Struthio camelus: one gene and its partner. The protein of the gene in region 1 binds, or shares a complex with, the protein of each later gene. Links are inferred from orthologs where the notes say so. Each region holds a gene or a part of one and is shown in the gene's direction. Other genes may lie near its edges.

Region 1 (9,785 bases):
CAGACCTCAGATGGTACAGTATGGCCAAATTAATATTGCTGCTGAAGCCATCATTTCTGACCTCACCTTTTCCAGATGCTAGCTGTGTCTTAATCTTCCATTAATGCCTAAACCATATTCATTTTCCAGTAAGTAGGCCTAGTAGTCCTATAGGCAACAAATGTCATACCTAACAAATACTGCATGGTTCAGGCCACTTGGTAAAAAGAAACGGGGACAAGAATACTGTTTATGTCTTCTCATAGGACATAACCAGTAAAAAAAATACATAAGGATAACCAGGAACCCCCTTATGAAGAAAAAAGTTCCAAGAAAAACACTCTATGTCTGCAAATACCAGTTGATACTCACTTGCTGCTCATACTGTATGGATTAATATGTATGAGGCAATTGTTTTATATTTAGCTGGATTGAGTGCAAGGGTTCCAGCATTCTGGAGATGATCACTCTGAATGACTGGGTGATCCATTAAAGCATTCTGCTGACATATGTCTTTGTCCTGCCAACAGGAGGATTCTGCCAGGGTTAAGTGCCAAAATAGATTTCAATACTAAAGTTTTAACTAATTCAAGGAAATTGTTATGTAATCTTGCTGCCAAGAATAGTGCTCATGTATACTGTTACAGAGATGTGATGAAACTGATTTTATTTGTATTTGCAAAGTGCTTTGATAAAAAGTGTTATAGACTCTAGTTTATTATCATGCTAAATATGTCCTTCAGCCTTTGAACATGGATTGGATATATGCAAAATATGGTAAACAAGTTTTTCATTTAATATGAACTGAAGTAGTTTGACTAAATTCTCTGGAAGAAACAAAAGCTACAGACAATTATTTGTTATATGCAAATATATATATATAGATATAGATATAGATATATAGTTATATACAGACATGATAATTTTATATACACTCTACTATCACCCCTTGCATAACTGAGTATTTCCACTATAGTGTCTTTAGGATAAGGACAGCAGATCCAGCCTTATGTGTGTTTTACATCAGCAAGGCATCTTCATCAGTGTCTCACAGAGCAAACATTTTGCATTCAGAAAAAAAATCTCTCAGACTTCTTTAAAGACAAATTTTTGTTCCTATAGCTGTCTAGTCACTGGAAATGTGTTATTTTTTGCCCTTCTCGCAGTACAAACTAGGAAAGGTAAGCATGGAGGAAAGAAATAGCATTAAAAGCCAGGCTCAGATTTAATTGTGCAAGATGTGATAATATGAAAGTCTAGTTCATTTTGTGCCCGCATCATTTAAAGTCAAGACCAAATGCCCCACTGACCTCAGTAGATCTAGCCAATTAACTAGTAAATAACTTTTATTATTATTTAATCGTACTTCTGTGTATAAGGTCTTTCTCTGCCACAGCTACTTAAATTCTCTAAAAGCCAATAGCATGTCCCATTGTGACAACAAAAACGTAAAGAGGGAGAGTGTTGGTTACAAATAGTAATTATTTATGATGGTTAAACTATCACATAGGATAACAAAAGCGCATTCTATATGGGATTATTCAGGCAGCAACCAGAAGTCTGGTGTTGGAGAGAATAAATACATACCTATTGTTGGAATGTTGACATTTTTCCTTGGAAAAGTATTTGTCTTTAAGCCCTACCTTAAGTTGCTTGTTCAACATTTATTCTTTACCGTTATCAAATGGGAAGGTTTTAAATACAACCATTAAACTAACAAGTTGTGGCAGCCAAGTTTATGGTATATTTGAGTCTTACAGATACTTTCAGCATATGTTTACTTCCCTCAAGATAATAACATGCAGTGATTTTCCATCATTTCCCCAAACTCAGTTAGACCAGATGTCTATTGGTAAAACTGGGATGTTCCACATTTTTTCTCTCACATTTCATTTTTTAAGGAAAAACTACTATTTGCATAATGTAATTAATGCTTAGGAAATATATATCTTACACTGTTGCTCCATTCATGGGATTTTTCTAAAGCATCAGGCCAAATTAATCCTTGGTACAATATTGTGTTGGCACAATTAGTTTGGACTCCTTAATTTAATTGAAAAATGTATTCTTCTAAGGAGTTTCTCTGTCCACTCCACTTTAGCACAGAGTTCAGGGACAGTGGGAAATCCTTATAGTTTTAGCCATTATTATCTCCTTTCTTTATATAGTATATGGTTTCTTTCTTTTAATCATTGTTTTCTTCCTGGAATATGAAGAAGTTTTTCCTTGTGTAAGTAAAATAAAACCACCCTGGTTTACACTTGACTCATACAGGTACAGTTATGCAACCGTTCTTTAGCTTTTCTGGTTTTATTGCACTTAATTAAAAAGAAATGCTATTGATGCTGAGTAGTTTTACAGCTAAATTATACCTGATTAAATACAATAGTTCATTCTCCCCTACTTGCACTTTCAGTAACTAAAAGCAAGATTGTCCTGCGTGCTGGAGTGGAGGGTTTTTTTTAATTGCCAAGGTCCAGGTTTGATGAATATTTTAAATACTTTCTGTCTGTGACACTGTACACAGAATATCCACAAGAGGGAACTGTTTTACATAAAGAGGAGTTATTTCCTTGCTGTTAAAATACTGCTTTCTGGAACCAAACCATCCAGCTTTATGTCAGGCTGGCATGATTGCAAATCACCACGCTATGTTATTTGGTACCAACAGGAAAAATGCAGGTAAAAACATTGTTCATTATGTTTTGTAAATATTATTCAGCTAAATAAGTTCATTTTGAGCTTTTGTGTTGAAATATTAAATAGAACAACTAATCTTTGTTTTTTGTGTTTACTCGGAATATATTGCTCTGGGAAATGTAGCTGGAACACCTTGTTGCTCCGAAAGCTGCATGGTAGCTGCATGAAAGCTGCATGAAAGCTGCATGCTGTGCATCGCTATGCACCTGCCTTTGCCTCACTTCGGTTGTTTGCTGATGGATAAAAGGATCCTCACGTAGATGCAACACCTGCCTGAGGGGTGCTCCCCCAACCCCAGCCCCGAAACCAACAGCGACCACGGGGCAGTGCCAGGCTGGTGGCCCCGTGTGTTGCCCAGGCAGGGGTCTTGCCCAGCCACAGGCTGTCCCCAGGTGGTGGCCCGCTGCAGGGAGGCTAGGAGCTGTGGCACCATGGGCTGGCGCTTCAGGTGGCACCTCTCACAGGCAGCTTCGTTTCAGCCTGACTCGTTTTCTGCATCTAGAAATCCTCCACTTAATTCCCCTCTTGCGGTAGCCTCCTGGGAACTGGTTCATTCGGGGCATTGTGTAACGGACTATCAGCTTTCCTCTGGGATACAGTAACGTCGTGTTTTCTCACTTGAGAATACCTCTACCCTATTGTCTGATGCTGTCTCTCCTCAGAGGCCTCTGCTAATCGGTTCTTGAAAAGGAAGCCCTCTCCTGACGGGCTAGACTGGAGGGAGACACCAGGACAAACTCACAAAGTTAGACAAATGTCATTGCACAAGAGCTGGAGGTGAGAGGGTTAGGGAGTCCTGTAAAAACCTTAGAGGACTCATAAAATCTCATTTCCAACTCTCAAGTGGAAAACCAAAAATAAACAAACCCAGGACTGATGCAGAAGCATGAAGTAGTGTTCCTAAAGGTTAAGAAATTGCTCTTTCATAATGGTGGCTCTGTGAATGAGTAGTGACTAGATCAGATGGGGAAGTGTAATGCACACACAGGCTGTGGTATTTTACCCTTGGAAAGATGACAAGAGGATCCACATAATAGCCTGTGCAGACAACAGGGTTAGCAGAGCATGTGCCAAATCAAGATTAATGTGTGCGTGTACATATGTATGTATGTATATTCTCTGTTTCAACCGGAATCTAGAAAAAGCAGGAGATGACTATTCAGATTTTTTTGCTGGATTTCCCCCCACCTTCGGCGTATCGTTTTTGAAAAAAAGCAGGAAACAACTATGCAGATTTTCTCACTGGATCCCCCCCTCCCCCCCGCCCCGGGCGTGTCATTTAAAATTGCTATTTATATTTCCAAGGGTCAGTTTCGGGAACGCGCTGGGGATGCTCAACAATTTACAGCGTGTTGGTGGGGCATTTGCAGTATTTCCCCTTGTCAGCTTGAAGCAGGCAACTCTCGGCGGACGGAGGCACGCCATGGCGCCCCGATATTTATTTCACTCTCCCTCGCCGCGCTTCAAACCCAGCAACCCCCTCCGCATCCCCGGCACCTGCTGCTGCAACTCAACCGCCCGCGGCGAGAGCCGAGCGCCCGCCCCGCCCCGAGCCCGGGCGCCCCGAGCGGTCCCCGGCCCGGCGGAGCCGCCGGCCATGTCGCGCCGTGCGCCCTGTGCCGGCGAGGGCGGCGGGGGCCACACACCCGCTAACGGCTGTAACCGCCGGCGCGGGGGGTGGGGGGGGGCGCCGCGCCCCGTGACAGGCGCCGTGCGTTAGCCGCTGCGTCATGACATCCGCCAAACCAGCCCCTCGCGCGGCCGCGCCAGGGGGCCGCGCCCGCCCCCGCCCAGCGCGGCTGCGGAGACCGGTGCGCCGCGGCGGCGGCGGCAGCGATGGGGCCGTCTGCCCACCGGCGACTTGTTGGACTGGCAGCTCGGCGCCGCAGCCCGGCCCCGCCTCGCCGCTACCTGTGAAGCGCCCGGGCCCCTCGCCGCCCTCCGCCCGCTGGCCCGCGCGCCCGCTGGCCGGTGCCTCGGCGGCCCGCAGAGCGGGGCCCCGCGGCCGCGGGGCGGGAGCGCGGCGCCGCCGCTCGGCTGTCGGCATGGGGGGCCGGGAGCCCGCCTGAGGCGGCGCGGCCCCGGCGGCAGCGCGGCGTCCCGCGCCGCCCCGGCCCCTCCGCGCGGGGGCCCCCGGCCCCCGGGAGCGGGGCCGTCGCCGGCGCGTCCCCCCGACGGCAGATAGGGGCGGGGAGCCGGTGGCCGCGGTGCCTCTGCGCGCGTAGGAGCAACAGCCCGGAGAGAGAGCCGCGGCCCGGAGCGAGCGCCCGGAGGATGCGGGAGGCGGCGGCAGCACGCGCACGGATGGGCCGGCGGAGGATGAATTAGGAGCCGCAGGAGGCTGCTGCCAGCGCCGAGGGGGGGAAGAGGAGAGGAAGGGGCTGGACTTGGAAGAGGAGGAGGAGGAGGAGGAGGAGGGCGCGCGGGGGGGACCGAGTGTCGCTAATAACAAGTTAAAGACTAATAACAATAATAACAGACCACCTCCAGGAAGATCCGCGGCGGAGGCTGAGAGATCCCCGCTGAGGCCAGCGGGGTTGCAGCGCTGGGTATCTTAGAGAGAAGCTCCGAGGCATCGGCTTGTGGTGGTGGTGCTGGATGATTTTTTCTGGGGGGTGGGCGGGGTGGGCGCTGTGTATGCGGGAGGAGGAAGGGGTGGGAATTTGAGGAGGAGACTACCCTCTGATTATTATTTTTATTTTTAATTTTAAATCGTTATTATTTTCGCCGTGCAAGGAGGACGCTCGGAATTCACCGGCTTGTCGGCTCCCGAGAGGGACCCGGGGATTGTGCCGTCGCCTCTTCCCCCCCCCCCCCCCCTTTGGTTGGTTTGCTTGTTTGCTTGTTTTGATTTGGGCTTTTTTTCATTATTATTATTATTTTCCCTTTTCCGCTGAGCGGCGGCGGCGGCGGCAGCAGCAATATGGCTGGTGATGGGTTTTTTGGGGGGCGCTGGCGGCGGGAGGAGCTCTCGGAAGCCCCTGCGCGCCCGGCTCGCTGTTAGCTATGGCAAATGGCAGCGGCGGCGGCGGCGGCGGCGGCGGCTTTAGAATGAGTAACAATATCAACGCGAACAATCTCAACACAGACTCGGCCTCTTCCCCCGTCAATGTGCCCAAGATGGATGCGCTCATCATCCCGGTGACCATGGAGGTGCCCTGCGATAGCCGCGGACAGCGCATGTGGTGGGCTTTCCTTGCCTCGTCCATGGTCACTTTCTTTGGGGGACTGTTTATCATCCTGCTGTGGAGGACCCTCAAGTACCTGTGGACTGTCTGCTGCCACTGCGGGGTCAAAAACAAGGTAACCTCCCGCCCCCGCCCCATCCCCTTCGGGTGCAGCGGTGGCTCAGTGCGGTGGCAAGGGGGTGCCCAGCCACCTAGGTCAGGGCACCTTGAAGAGGTGGCACTGGAGGAGATGCAGGGTGGCTGTTGCGTGGTGGCTGTGTGCTGGCTTTCAGGTGGTCTCGGCACTGTGCTGGGGGCAGCATGGCAGGAGGGGTGCCGGGGCCCTCCGAGTGCCCCCCGCCTCCCGTTCTGCCATCACCTCGCTCAGAAGCTCTTCAGTGTCGGGGGCCAGGAAAGTTGTGCTTGCTCTCCGCCCGCCAGCTCCGCGAGGTGCATGCTGACACGCTGGGACAGTGCGGTTCAGAAGTTGCTACGCACCCCCAGGAGACCATGTATGATGGGGAAGAGTATTGGGAAGGGTGTTTATTTGCTGGACAAAGCTGTCAGTTCTCCTAGGAAATGACAAACTTTGGCAAAATCAGAGAAGTAAACTTCTCAACTGAGTAAATCTTTTAAAAGCTAGTTTCGCTCCCTTAGACTTGCATTTGCTGAATTTGTAAGTAACATACTAGATCAATGTTCTTCTAAGTGCAAAATCTTTGCGATAACTTCTGTGCCCCTTAGTTTTTTGCATATTACCTCTGGAAGGAAGCATAATACATGAAGCAAGGTAGGCTCCTGGTTTGAAAGGTCTCCTTCAAACCAAAGCTAAGAACTTGGTCAGGTCCAGACTCTTATTTCTGCTCAAGACGAATGGGATAGAAAGTGTTAAGACGCTGTATTTGAGAAAGTGGGTTTAGACAGGCAATTTTAAGACCCCAAAATAGACCAGCAGCTGGAGTTTCTCCCCTTCCCTTTTCGCATTTTTTGGATTACAAATGGAATAATATCTGCTTCAGTTATTCCTGGCACACAGACGCCCGCAAAAACACACACACCTTTTAATATATGGTTGCTAGGTTGCTGGCTTGCTTTGACGTACAGTGAGCTGTCTTCCCCTTTCTCCTATCCCCTCCCCCTAAACACACTTGACATAGCATAACCCAGCTGTACAAAGGAACTAACACTTACGGGAAACCAGAAAAAAGTTACAGAGTTTGAGAAGTTTGGGTACTTTTCTTTCCTTGTGTTAGCTAAGTATCAAATTAGGATTACCTGTATGTTACACAAGAACCTATCTGTTAAAATTGGAAGCAGAACAGTTGTAAAAAACTTGTCATATCTGTGGAAGAAATGATTGTTAGCAATACAGAATAAATAGAAACTTTCAACTCAACTTTTAAGTTTCAGGAAACATACTAGGCAATATCTCTTCTGTAGAGACATTATTTATTTCATTCAAAACCAAAACCAAATCTGAACTTTGTCTCAGAGACATATTAGCTAGCTATGATGGTAAAGCTAAAAAAGAATTTGTGATAGTAAATAAGTTTTGTAAAATACTGTTTCCTATCATAGTAAAAGGAAATCCGTAAGAAAGGAAGGGGTAGCTATGATTTGTCTTCAGTTTCTTCTGTGTATATTTAGCATTTTCCTCTCCTTGTGATGAGACAAATCTGCAAGGACTATAAGAGGTCCCAAAGAAGAAGGAAATCCTAGAGGCTATCACCTGCTACTTTGCTTGAGAGAATAAAAATTGGAGTTAGCTGCTTCTGCACAGACTTCCTATGCATAGTGTCTTCATGGATATCTGCAGTCTGATAGTCCATTCATGAGAAATAGTCAGTAAAGCAGATCATCCATCTCTTAAACAGTATAGAAAGGCATATCCAAGTTGTCTTTAAAACATCTCAGACAGGCTAAATGTATCAGTTAGCTAAATAACAGCTGTCATCAAGGGGTCCCAGCACTTGCAGTTTGAATGATTTGACAGAGTACAGTTATGTCAGACCGTAAGATTTATTTCATGTTTGGTACCTAAAGTAGCTACATCCAGGAATATCATTCCCAGGGGCAGGAGAATGGAGGACTCTGCAGGTAGGGGGAGATATATGTCACTTTTTAGATTGTCTATTGCACTGGTAAGGTTGTCAAGCCTTTAGTGAAGAGTAACTTCCAAGGCCTGATTCTTTCACACTAAAATGGGGAATCAGGGCGAGTTGTGTATGTGTAATGAGTAAGTAGTTTTTGCAGAACACTTTTCTAATAGTTAGGGTTTACAGGCTAACTGAAGTAAAAACTGGTAATGCCTTAAACTTTGCTATTACCAAACACATCCTTTGTGCTGCTTGACAACTTGGGAAGGGTTGCCAAGGCTGCAGGTGAAAAATGTGAACGAGCAGTTGTGCTATGTCTACTATATTGGAGCTCGCAGCAAAAGTAACTTTACAATAAGTAGTTCCTCCTGCTATGGAACTGAAGAAGCTTTTTGCATGTTAGGACCTTTTCTTCCCTTTCTCCCGCTCCACAGGTTGTATTAGTGCTGGGTAATAGTGCTGTAGTGCTGTCATAGTGCTCTCATCATCTGCTTAAAGAGTGCTCCCAGCGAGTGAGCTAAAAGAACTCTCTCATGTCTGCTTTCTGTGGTTTCTTACTAAATAATTTGCATGTATACTAAGAGTCACAGGGCACAGGGTTACTGTTCACAGCCGTGTTCATATATGTTATTACAATGAGCGGAAAAAAAAATATTTCATTTTTTCCCTGCTATATTCTTAGCAGAAAACTGTGTTCCTCAGGCTAGTAGGTGATTGTCAACTTTATTTTATGGATGTAGCCCTTTTAATGGCTGCACAGAAGGATTCAGAATGCTTTTTTCTCTTTAACTTACTGAGTTTAAGGTTGGTTTTTGAATTTTTAAAACCTGTTATGAACACTCTGTTTAACACTTTGTGGTATGAAATTCCATTATAGTATTTCGTTTTTCTTGGAGATGTGTACTGAAAGTCAAAAGAGTATGAAAACTTCTGATAACAGAATGATAACATTGCTTCTTAAAATTCCAGATCCAATTTATGCCATTGTATACTAATAGCACATTAATATTAATCATGGACAAAAAAAAATTGCTGAAGTTACAGGATGTTTTATGCTCCATGCTTGCTTTGTGAGATGGTGTTTTTTAAAATCTGCCAGAAAGAAAAATGTAAAATTTGACCTATGTCAGTGTTTCATGTAATATGAGGGTGTTTACAATTGAAGCTTGTATTTTTTCTTTATCTAATGTGGTATATACTTTAAGATTTGATTTTTGCAAAATTAACTACAGTCATTTTGTAGAGACTTAAAAATGCTCTTTGTTTCTCAGTGTTTGCATCTGCATTTTAAGAAATGCTTAGGTTTTGTTAAAGAAATTGTCTTCAGTTTGCTTCCCCCCCCCCAACTCATTCCTAACTTTATATATTAAAAGTATAAAGTGAGATTGATATTAGATGGGCTAGACGCTGACACCATTAGTTGCTGTTGTTTATGGGAATAACAGAAAAAGAAAATAAATATGTAACATTAAGTACAGTTACCCCAGTGGCTAAATACATATTACAAAATCTGTAATTCTTTTGATTATATGGATCTGCTACTCCATTTTCCATGTTCCTGAAGGGCATTTTCTACAGACGTTACGTAATACTATGTTTTGGCTTTGAATAAGCTCTTAAACAAGGAAAAGGTGTAGTGGAATGAGAAAGCACAAGTTTGGAGCACAACAGGCTCCTGAAGCCAGCCAGGTTCAGAACGCAGTGAAACTTACACACCCCTTTGAAGAGTGGACCCTGTGTCACTGCTCCTTGGTTCCCCAGAGACCAGAACTCATTTTTCACCTTATACCGTCAAGAGTCCAGCAGGTACAAGGTATCTTTATCACTGTGCTCATGTTGGAGC
Region 2 (10,457 bases), on another chromosome or scaffold:
CTGCATAGCCAGTCTTATTAAAATGAATAACAGAGATAGTAAAGGGGGCAAGATAAATTACATTAAAAGAGATATCTCATACTATTAAATACCTTATGACACCTCTAAAAATAATTAAGCTAAAATTGAGAATCTAAGTCTTTCAAAAGGTTACTTTAATGACAGTTGCATTCAGGTGTATGATACTTCAAAAATTTGAGATGCTTAAGTTGTAATCCTAACAAAATTCTCCGTTGTTAGCAAGGAACTGATGATTTGTTCCTTCAAAGTGGAGAACGATCTGGCTCTCACTTGTCCTAGTTCCTGTGATTAAAGAAGCATATATGGAGACTTTAAAATAGGTAATTTCATTTCACTTTGCACTCCTGAAGCAGGAGAAACAGTTTTAAGTATAAAACAATGTATATAATTGAAAACACATCTTAGCAGGTATTATCACAATAATTAAAAAATAAAAACTATACTGCTTTTTTTTTTCTGCTGAAAGGAAGAAAGCCTCAACCCTCTTTAAATGTTGCATTTCGGTGACTAAATCACACAAGCGATTTTTAAAACTGACAGTTAAGGTCTAAGGCTCTTTCTGTGTCTTTTCATTCCACTGTCACTATAAATTATGGGAGAGAATAGAAAGCTACTTTGAAAATATTTTTATTTAAGCTTTTTTTCTCAATTACAGTAACATGTAACATGCAAGGTAAGTTCTTAATAGTAAAGCTGGCGTTCTTGAAAACAGCTAGAAGTATTCATGTTTCTGGCCTGCTTCACAAATATTCCCATATTTGTGTCTCATTATTGCATATTATTTAAATAACTCAAATATTTGTAAACAGCTTGCATTTCTTTGGACATCCACTAGCCTGGATTTCCAGTGTAAAATGGTTTTTACCCACTGGATACAGGTTTAGGAATCAAGCAGGGAGGAGGTAAGGACAACGCACCTAAGAGGTTTCAAAAAAACAAAACCACAAAAACCCCACTCAGTACTCATCATCTCTGCCTTGGTACCTGACGCCACAAATACTTAAGCACGTGAGTCCCTTCCTGTGCTTGATTGATCTAATTGAATACACAAGTAATCCAGTGACTCCTGAAGATATTCACATGGTTAAAACTGCTCGCGCATGTGACTGTGACCTGAGTTACTTGAAGTGTCAGGTGCATGTTAGGATTCGTGACTGACCCACACCACTGATTCAGACTTGACTTCTATCTGGTACAAGGATGTATAATTATATCATTTTGCTGTATGTCAGGTTTAAAATCCCTCCCCCAACCCATATTTTTTGTACTTTTACATTTATGATTGCAGGGAAAAAAAAAAACCTACCCAAAATAACATATAAAATATTTGTACTGTAGTTTAAAAACTGTTTTTGAGAATGCTTGCGGTGTGCTGTTCGGCTCTGTTCCATTTAACCAAAAAGAGTAACTTGAAACTATCTTTGGAATGACCTAAGCAGTACCGAAAGGCACAGGTCTCTGCAGCAGTCAGCTGGATATTGCATTGATATGTAGGTGGCAATGACTGTTGAAGAAGGGTATTCAATTCCTAAATAACAATGCTTTAAAGATATTTATCACCTAAAGTAAAAAGCACTTAAATTTAGTTTATAATTCACTCCTAACTGAAAGTATTTTTATGGCAGGTTGTTAGCTGAAAGAAAACGTGATTGCTATCTGCCACGCTCAAGAAGAGTTTTTAAACGCGCAGCTGTGATGCTAAGTATAATGTAGCTAGACACTGCTTTTGATTTAAAATACTAAATATGACAATCAGTTTTTTTAATGAAATCTTGAATGTGCTCTTGTTTTCAAATGCCATATCCATTCATCATGTTTCTCAGTATTTCCTCCTCCCGAAAAACTGCACTGGTAAAATTCAAATGCTGGTAAAGAGTGCAGACTGGGGCAAGCAGTTAATGTGAATTAACTGGTTGTATAGCACAAGAATTAAAATGGTGTAGCTGGGGTTTGGGTTTCTCCCTACCTTTGATAAGAATCTATAGTCTTTTTTTCCACAAATCTGAAAGCTTCAGCTATATTTAAAAGACTAGAGGAAATGCAGCTAGATTTCTTATTTTAAAACCACCGTTTGAATTACTTCAGTAGATTTGATTTTACCTTCTAAAACCAGGTTATTGCAGTTAAAGCTTATTTTTTGAAAGTAAAGTTGGAATACATTTAGCCATTGTTTTCAATGTTACTGATTCAATCCACTTCAGAACTAGCAGTGCTAACTGAGCTTGGATCCCAAGTTTCCTAGGCTTTGCATTTTCATCCACATTTCACATGCTCCCCTGTCAGAATTAATATGCCAACCCTAGACATAGGTGTATGTCAGCATTTTACTGCTGAAGATGCCCAGAGTTTTGTGCAAGAATCACTTTTTTTGAACTACCTCTGGTGTGTACACAGACACACACACACACAGATCCTGTACTGCAGGACCTGTACCTTTAGTAGAGCAGCAAACTAGCCAATTGTCATGATTATCTGCATCATCCTTCAACCACCTATAAATTCATCCTGATCAAGAGCAAACGGAAGACATCCCAGAGGTGCTCTTGTGGATGCAGATGAGGGAAGGGTGATACCTCGGTTTCTGAGCACAAGCATTCCCCATTTTTTCCTTGGAGATATGGGATGAAGTGTGTAAATTCTGGTTTGTTGACAAAGTAAAATGCAACTGAATCTACTGTTGTTAAGTACTGTATTCCCAGCAGGCTTTAGGTCGCTAAACTTATATCCCCCAAAAACAACTTAAAAGATGTCATGAAAACTTCAGGAAATTTAGGCTAATTTAGTATTGCAGAAACACTTTATATGTAGTGACTCGAACAGTAACTGATAAAAGTCATGCAAAGACAAATGATAGTTAACATTTTTATAAAAATGTTCAGATATTTGTGGCTTTTAGTTTGGGCAAAGAAGGTAGCAAATTTGTCCTTTCTGGCAAACATACCTGAAATTTTGTAGATACTCCTCAGTTATCTCTACAGCTCTTTTTCTGGATAGAGGGTTGGGTACCCCCCCCCCCATGTGTTTCTGTCAACTAGGTGTGACCTTCCTCCCTTTGAAGTCCAAGGTGTTTCCTGTTGGGCGTCACAGCACTGGTTGCAAAAAGGCATGTTACAGTTTGTTATTGGCACTTTTATGGAAGAGGGTGCCAGACAGCTGAGAGGTGTTAGGAGGGCCATCGCTAGGCCACTATCACAGGAAAAACGGCACGTGGGCTCACAGAGCTCATTTCAGTCTGCTGCCTGTTACCAGCATTTGTTCACGCAAAGTAATTCTCACACAAAAATCTTTGCGGAGAACCAGTCTCGTCCCTCGTTTGTGCTGGACAAGACAGTCTTGTTAATATGTATTACCCGCTGGGCAGGTCAGTGATGCCCAGGCTTTTAGCTAGGGAGGCTTACAGAGGTACGCCAGGTCCCACGCAGTCTACAGATATGGACGTGCACATAACCAAGATGGAGGAACCTTCACCATGCAACGTACAAGCAAGCGGTCTTCAGTTAAGTGATCAGCGGATGGGCGTCCCGCATCTAGCGACAGGTAAGCCTGCACGTGGTCACAGGGCAGGGAAAGATCTGAAAGAAGGCAGAAAGTAATCAATCTGAATTGTTTTGTGTAGCTGTCCAGATCCTCAGGTTAGTTATCAGATACATTAGACATTCAGCTCTTCCCACCCTGGCAAATATGATGGTGTGATGTGTGCTTGGATTAATTTACTGGCTTCCAAAGAATGCTCATAACATAAGCCACAATCTGAAAGTACTATAAATCCTGCGGAAGTCAGATTTTGTAACTGTCGTGCCTCATTGTTGGCAGCGGAATGAGATTTTCCAGCCTACCTTAACCTTCTGCGCTGATTTTCTTGGCCCTGGCTGCTCCTGATGCAACGCGTGTTCCTGGGGTCTCAGAGTCAATGTGCTGACTCCTTGCCTTCAGCAGATGATAGCAGAGCTAAAATCTTTGCAACCAGGCCTTTAGGTACCCAGCTTTACTCTTACAAACCAGCTACTAACAATCACTTACCACTTCTGACCGATCCAAATACTTTCAGTCCTGACTTAGTATTTGTCCAGAAGTTTGAAAACAATGAGGTTGCCTGGTAAACGTCTGTTTCCAGTTAAAATATAGCCTCACCAGCTCAGATCACAGATGTGGATTTCTGATAACAACCAGGAAGACTAACTCTCAAGGTTACTGTGTTAACGTACACCCAGTGAGCTGTTGCCTTAGTTTCAGCTGACAGTACTTTATATACAGGGGATGACAAATGATTCAGCTAGGTAACCAGTGAATTGAGATTTAACACCAACTGTTCAAAAGATAAAAATGATGACAAGTCACAGTTGGTCTAAACAAAATGCAAGACAATTGAAAAAACAGGGCTGGAGCTTTCCTTTTGGAAGATGGGTTCAGGTGGTAGGCAACCAACCTACCTGATCAAAATTAGTGTTTTCACATTACGAAAACAGAATAGACAGGTCCACCGTCAAAGACTACCATCACCAAAAGTGCTAGGAGCAAAGCATTACTAAGGGGAATGCATGAACAGAGCCAAGGACTAACCAAGATGAGTTCTGTTTCTAGTACAAAAACTTATCACAGGTAAAAATGGCGATATACAAACGTTTCCCAAGCTTACAGCTGGAGCACGTTTTCTGAAACCCTTTAGTATTAGAAATGACTACTATACTATAAGCTGAGGACAGAGTGGTGGTACATTAGTGCAGCCAAGCACAAATGCAACCATTTATATTCCTATCACAGAGTGGATTCTTAAAAGCCTTCTTGCCAAATGCTGCTAAATATTCAATTTGAGGAACCGAGGGCTCAACGTTGTTGATATTGCACTCCGCTTCACTCCTGCAGTGGAGAAGCGAGCGAAAAACCTGGCTGGAGGAAAGTACGATTTCCCATATTTATTTTTCTATTATTTCTGTACCATCTTGTCTGCTGTTTCATCTGGCTCAGCTGTCATCTCAAATTGCCACATTTTGTTCTACGTAATTACCTATGATAAAGACTACAGAATAAAAACGTAACTACGAGCTCCTGCACTTCAGGGCTGGAGAGCTTGTTCTACTGCAGCTGCTGGGGTGGGTAATGCTTAGTAATAGCAGAAGTGTGTTTGTGAGCTGGGTGTATTTTCTTGGCTCTATCGCCTTTCTGCAGACCTGTTTTGAAGAGGGCATCTTTTAGGGCTACCTTTTAAAGGTCAGTATCTTGCTGTTAAAAGCAATTCCTGGGCAAAACGTTTGGACAGTTATCATCTTGCTTACCTTTAAATGATGATGTACGAGTCAGAGGCTGGGTCTGCCTGTACTCTGCAAATGCCAGCTTTGGGGCTCGGAGCGGACAGACCAGAGTACCCACTCTCATCGGAGCCTGCTGAGTCACCTGAAAGTCTTGTTGAGGTAGGGTAACGTCAGGCCAGCCCCGGTACGATGCAAACAGCAGCTGCTTCCTCACTTCCAGATAATGCATTTCTGTAATTGTGACTCTTATGCCACAGGTAGACTTAGCCTCTCTGAGAGGCTTTGCAGACTTTCGCAGACCGCTGCGCTAATTACGAAATGGCACCGGAGAGCAGGGGCCCGGCCCCCGCGAGGAGAAGCGGGTAGGGTAACATGTTTTCATGACTTGGCTTTAGGCACAACGTTATACTGCTCAGCGCTGTTTGCCTCTGCCCAGCCCGGGTCTGCCTCGGGGTGTTTCCCCGGGTGCCGGAGCCACTTGCTTCACCGCAACTTCAGCGGTGCCCGGCGGGTCGGCCCGGGGCTGGGGCCGGGGCCCGGGAAGGCAGGGCGAGCCCGGGGAGCAGCGGGCGCCGGCGGCCCGCGACGCCTCTCCCGTGCCAAGGAAAAGCCCCAGCGCGGCGGCGGCGGCGGCGGCGGCTTCCCCACCTGGGAAAGCCGCCGGGCAGGCCAGGCTGTGCGCTGCTCCCCCCTCTCCCCGCCCGGTCCTCCCCCATCGCATGGCATTAATCCGGAATAGCCATCCCAGCAGCAAATCTCCCGGGCTCGATAATCCCGCTGCAAGCTGTCCCTTCCGCCTCAATTAGGTCAGCCGTAAAATAAATAAATAAATAAATAAATTACATTTCCACCCCCCTTTTTTTTTTTTTTTTTTTTTTTTTTTTTTGCGCGTGCCGGCTGGCACCCCGCGCGGGTCTCCTAGCAATGGGGAGGGCGGGAGGGAAGGAGGGCGGGGAGCGGTAAGGAGCTTACCTCATGGCAGCGGCTGGCTGCCAGGCGGCCCCAGCGGCGGGGCGGCGGCGGCGGCCAGGCGGCAGCAGCGGCACAGCCCGGCCATGGCGCGGAGCCGCCCGGCCTACGAGTACACGGAGGCGGAGGACAAGAGCATGCGGCTGGGCTTCCTGCTCATCGCCGCCGGCCTCCTGTCGCTGCTGGTGTTGGGTTTCTGCTGGCTGCGCCCGGCGCTGCAGGAGCGGCGCGCCGGCGGCGCCGCCAACTGCACGGTGCTGGCGGTGCGGCAGCTGGGCGAGCGCTTCGCCTGCACCTTCTCGTGCGGCGCCGCCTGCCGCGGCACGGCCCGCTACCCCTGCCTCCAGGTGCTGGTGCGCACCTCGCGCTCCGCCGCCCCCGCCCTGCTCCACGAGGACGAGCGGCAGCTCCGCACCAACCCCAAGGTGAGCCCCGCGCCCGCGCCCCTGGGGAAAACCCGCCCGGGGCACGGATGGCTCGGGCGCGGCGCTTCCCGCAGCAGCCTGCTTCCCCCCCCCCCCCCCCCAAGAATAAAAAACACGCGGAAAATCCTCGTTTAAGCAAACGGGATGGCAGCCGCCGCTCGTGGTTGTGCGCTCGGGTCCGCGGTGTGTGTGTGTGGGGGGGGGGGCGTTTAAGCAAAAGTTTCCTCAGCGCTAGTTTTTTCCCCCCGTTCTTTCTTTCCTAAATTTCTGCGTTGCCCGCGTGAGAACAGTCTGGGCAAAAGTGCCTTTAAGTCTGAAGTTGCATCTCCTAGTAAAGCTGGGTAGTATGATGACAGCGTACTTTTTCTTTTTTCCCCTAAGTGGGAGTTATTTAATTTTCTGTTCTCCTTTTTCTTTTAATGCTGAGTAAACGTCATCTTTCTGGCACTCTAACTGAGCGGAGGAGATTTGGTTAAGTCGTTTTCTGAAGAACAAAAAAAGGAGCAGGATCCTCCCTCCCCCCACCCCCCGCCAAAACCCCCAAGATTGGGAGCATGTTGGAGAAGAGTTTGGGAGCGTTGATAGAAACGTCGATGCGATGCGACAGGTCATGCTGAGCGCAGGACAGGGGTCCTCCGCATGCAGAAGTCCAGGAGCAGCCTGGTGCTTTCGGGGGGGTTGTGCAGCCTTTGGAGGTGGTATGTCTTCCTGGCTGGTCCCCCATATTGGAGGCAGCAGTCGAATGAAACAAGTTGAGGTTTCAGTCTCACCCCTTCTTTTTTCCTCACCTCACCCAGACATAAGGTAGAGGAAAAGAACGTCGCCGCAGCTGTGTTGGTACCAGTTTGGATCTGTCTCTTGGAAGACAGGTGAAGTTGTAACCTTAGGGTTTGGGGTGTTGCTTTTTTTCCCCTTGAGGCTCGTTGGCATGCAAGGGTTGTCGGGGCAAAAATCAGCAGAGAGGAAAGCAGAGTGATAAAACCTGGCACAATTTGCGTGAAAGCGCTGGGACTGCTCAGAGGAGCCAAGCGTCGAGGGGGCTGGGCTGGACCGTGCCCGACAGCGAAGCGGGTGCAACGTCGGCCTGCGAGGGAGCTGGGCGAAGCGGGCGCTTGGCCCTCAGGTGCTGCCGCCGTGTTCGGGAGGGCAGTCAGTGACCTGCAGGGAAAAAGCTGCCCTTTTGACTTGGGGAGAAGACGCCCTGGCACCCCGGCCAGGCCATCCTGAGCGCGTCCGGCCCACAGCATTTCGGCTCTCTGCTGCGGGCATGAACCACATCGCCAGCAAGCCCAGGCTCATCAGCCCTTCCAGTATCCGCAGTTTCAGCAGAGGCTTTCATACTGGGGCTCCGACTGTAGCATCTGCCAAGTGATCTCTCTAAGGAGTTTGAGGGATATTTTTTTTTTTCTGTTTTTTTTTTTTTTTGAACTTTTTAGTCCTGTCTTCTCCTGGCTCCCGGGAAGGCTGGCGCCAGGGCAGACTAGGGTTGCACCTGCTTGAATTTTGCTGGCAGGCACTGAGCGCTTCGGGAGGGATGCCTGTCTGTGTAGTTCAGAAACCGGTATTTATTTAACAGCTAATAAACAAACAACACAGGTCTGCACGTTGGCAGCGTGTTGTGCTTGCATGCTTTTACAAATATAATCCATTTATCTCTAGCTCGAGTATCGCACCTTTAAATGTGGGTTGTTTACTGTAGGATATTGATTGCTGATGACTGAATCTAGTTTTCTAGATGAGACTGAGTAGAAAGGACCTATTTTTTGATGTAACTACATTCTGTGGTACTAACTGAATTAAACTAAGTGGAAAAGAACATAGAAAGAAATGTGCTCCACATATTTTCCTTACCTTAAGGAGCTTTTATGCAAAACCAATGCAAAATAAAACTAAAAGTCATTTTGTTCTCATTGGGAAAACATATCCTTTTAGAGGAAGTGATGTATAGCTGTTGCTTTAGCGTAGGGTTTTTTTTCTTCCTAGTTTAACGTCTGTGTAGCTGAGCAGTTATATTCTTCTTTTTATTTTTGTCCTAAAGTCTTACTGCCTTTAAGAGCTTTCTGGATTTTACACTGAAATAGATGAATTATAGCAACAGATTAGGAATCTGGTGGATGTCATTATCTGGAGCCAGTATGGACGGATTTGTGAATGAATACTTAAGGAGCCTTGTTAACCCTCCTGTTTCTATCCTCTCCTCATAGCCCACCTGCTTGTATTAACGTAATTCGGCATACTGCGCACTAGCCAATTCCAGCTAACTCGAAGGGGGAGAAAAAGAGCGATTTGTTTTTGAACGGTCTTGGAATCGTACGTTCTGTATAACAGCTTTACGGGGTGGCTATTCGTCCTGGTAAATCAGCAGTGTGAGGAACGCGTGTTTTGGGCTCGTTACACCATACAACCATACTAAATTGGTTGGCAGCTTCACTCCACCAAGAGGATCCCCAGTGTGTCGGACTGAAAACAGTCTGCTCTCTGTAGCAGAGTGGGCTTGTGTATGAAGGTATCTGCAGCTACGGATCGGTCTACGCTACTGAGGTCTATCTGTAGGACGCTTTTTTTTTTTCTTCTGTTCCTTCCTAAGATAATCACATCATTGTACAGCCCTGGATTCATTTTAGCTCTTAAAAGATTATATAGCTGGGGCAGAATTAATCCAGAAAAGTAAGTACGAAGCACCGTGCACAATTACATTTGTGTACGGTCTGTGCGATATGTGGATTTCTTTTTGCTTTTCGTTGTTGTCTCCGAGGAAGAAATTTCAGTAAATAGAGCGATGGTAGCCTTTCTTCAGCTGCTTTGATAGCAATAGTAATCTCTGAGATAAGGTTTAAGGGGGATTAATTCCAAAGTCAATTTGTCAGGCTCGCCTGGCCACGCAGTGAGTTGATAACAAACACAGCACAGGGGGCTGGAATATAGGTTTAGTTGAGTAACATTACTGTGGCATGTATCAGCTGCTAATAATATCTGCCTTCTTGCTTTTAGGCTTTTCCCTTTCTGTGCTTGAAGTTGAGCATAGTGCCAGAAAAACTTGCCCAAGACTTAGCTGGGAAAACTTCTACATGAACGTAAAAGTGTAGTTGTAGAAGTGTAGTTACGTCGGACGTCACCACGTGTGTGGTGCGACTCACTTCTTTGCAGCCCCGGGGCTGGCAGGGGAATAGCAGAGGAAAGAGGTGAAGTCGCGTCCCGGCCGTCGAACGGGCAGACGGAGCAGCTCAGGAGCCCTTGGACCAGCTCACTAATTATGCTGCCAGCGTGCGCAGTCCTCCAAAGCGGGGTTGGTTTCGAATGGATGAGCTGAACCCGGGGCCCCAGTTGGGGTGGAGGGAAGGCACGTCCCCAGCCCAAGCCCGGGGCGGGACGACGTGGAAGTGCACAGCGATCGTGTGCTGTGATACGGGGCCGGAAGGGTCCCGCCGTGGGCGTGAAGGTTGTGCAGATCGAATGTTTCAACAGGAAATTCCAGAGTTTAAAAAAATGGCCTCTGCAAATCTAATTCATTCAGCCCTGTTTGTGTCCTTAAATGCCTAATTACATGATGGCAACCATTTTTTGTGGCTTTTCTCCCTGCCCTCCAGAAATCCTGCTGCACAGAGGGCAGAGGGCGGGCTGCAGAGCAGCTAGCAAGCGCTTGTTCCTGTATGCTGCGTCAGCTCGCGGTCCCATGTCACGTTACCCATTTTTCAGATGCCACACCAAATTGCTGATTCCTCCATGACCTCTCTCTACTGTGCGCTTGGAATGGAATTGTTTTTTAATTTTTGAGCCTCTCAAAGATGAGCTG

The links. Proteins that work in one complex are often made in the same cells at the same time.
Region 2: the proteins of KCNMA1 (region 1) and KCNMB4 are in contact, whole or in part, in a cryo-EM structure (PDB 6V22), measured with the Homo sapiens proteins. The link is inferred for Struthio camelus from reciprocal best matches to the Homo sapiens genes KCNMA1 and KCNMB4. Residues at the interface, in NP_001154824.1 of Homo sapiens: Phe98, Phe99, Leu102, Phe103, Leu106, Leu107, Arg109, Thr110, Tyr113, Leu114, Thr116, Val117, Asp238, Leu240, Trp241, Leu244, Pro327, Trp328, Asn330, Gln332, Leu367; in NP_055320.4 of Homo sapiens: Thr11, Glu12, Ala13, Glu14, Lys16, Ser17, Leu20, Leu24, Ile34, Phe35, Cys38, Trp39, His105, Thr164, His165, Val183, Leu186, Ile187, Leu190, Thr191, Ala194, Leu197, Ala198, Lys200, Ala201, Met204.

Annotation. Positions count from the first base shown.
Region 1 is NC_090948.1:27,734,278-27,744,062, reverse strand, and holds the start of KCNMA1 (calcium-activated potassium channel subunit alpha-1), read left to right. Parts: upstream 1-5,509; 5' UTR 5,510-5,685; coding exon 5,686-5,982; intron 5,983-9,785. UniProt on the Homo sapiens protein: Potassium channel activated by both membrane depolarization or increase in cytosolic Ca(2+) that mediates export of K(+). It is also activated by the concentration of cytosolic Mg(2+).
Region 2 is NC_090942.1:41,115,995-41,126,451, forward strand, and holds the start of KCNMB4 (calcium-activated potassium channel subunit beta-4), read left to right. Parts: upstream 1-6,271; 5' UTR 6,272-6,325; coding exon 6,326-6,664; intron 6,665-10,457. UniProt on the Homo sapiens protein: Regulatory subunit of the calcium activated potassium KCNMA1 (maxiK) channel. Modulates the calcium sensitivity and gating kinetics of KCNMA1, thereby contributing to KCNMA1 channel diversity.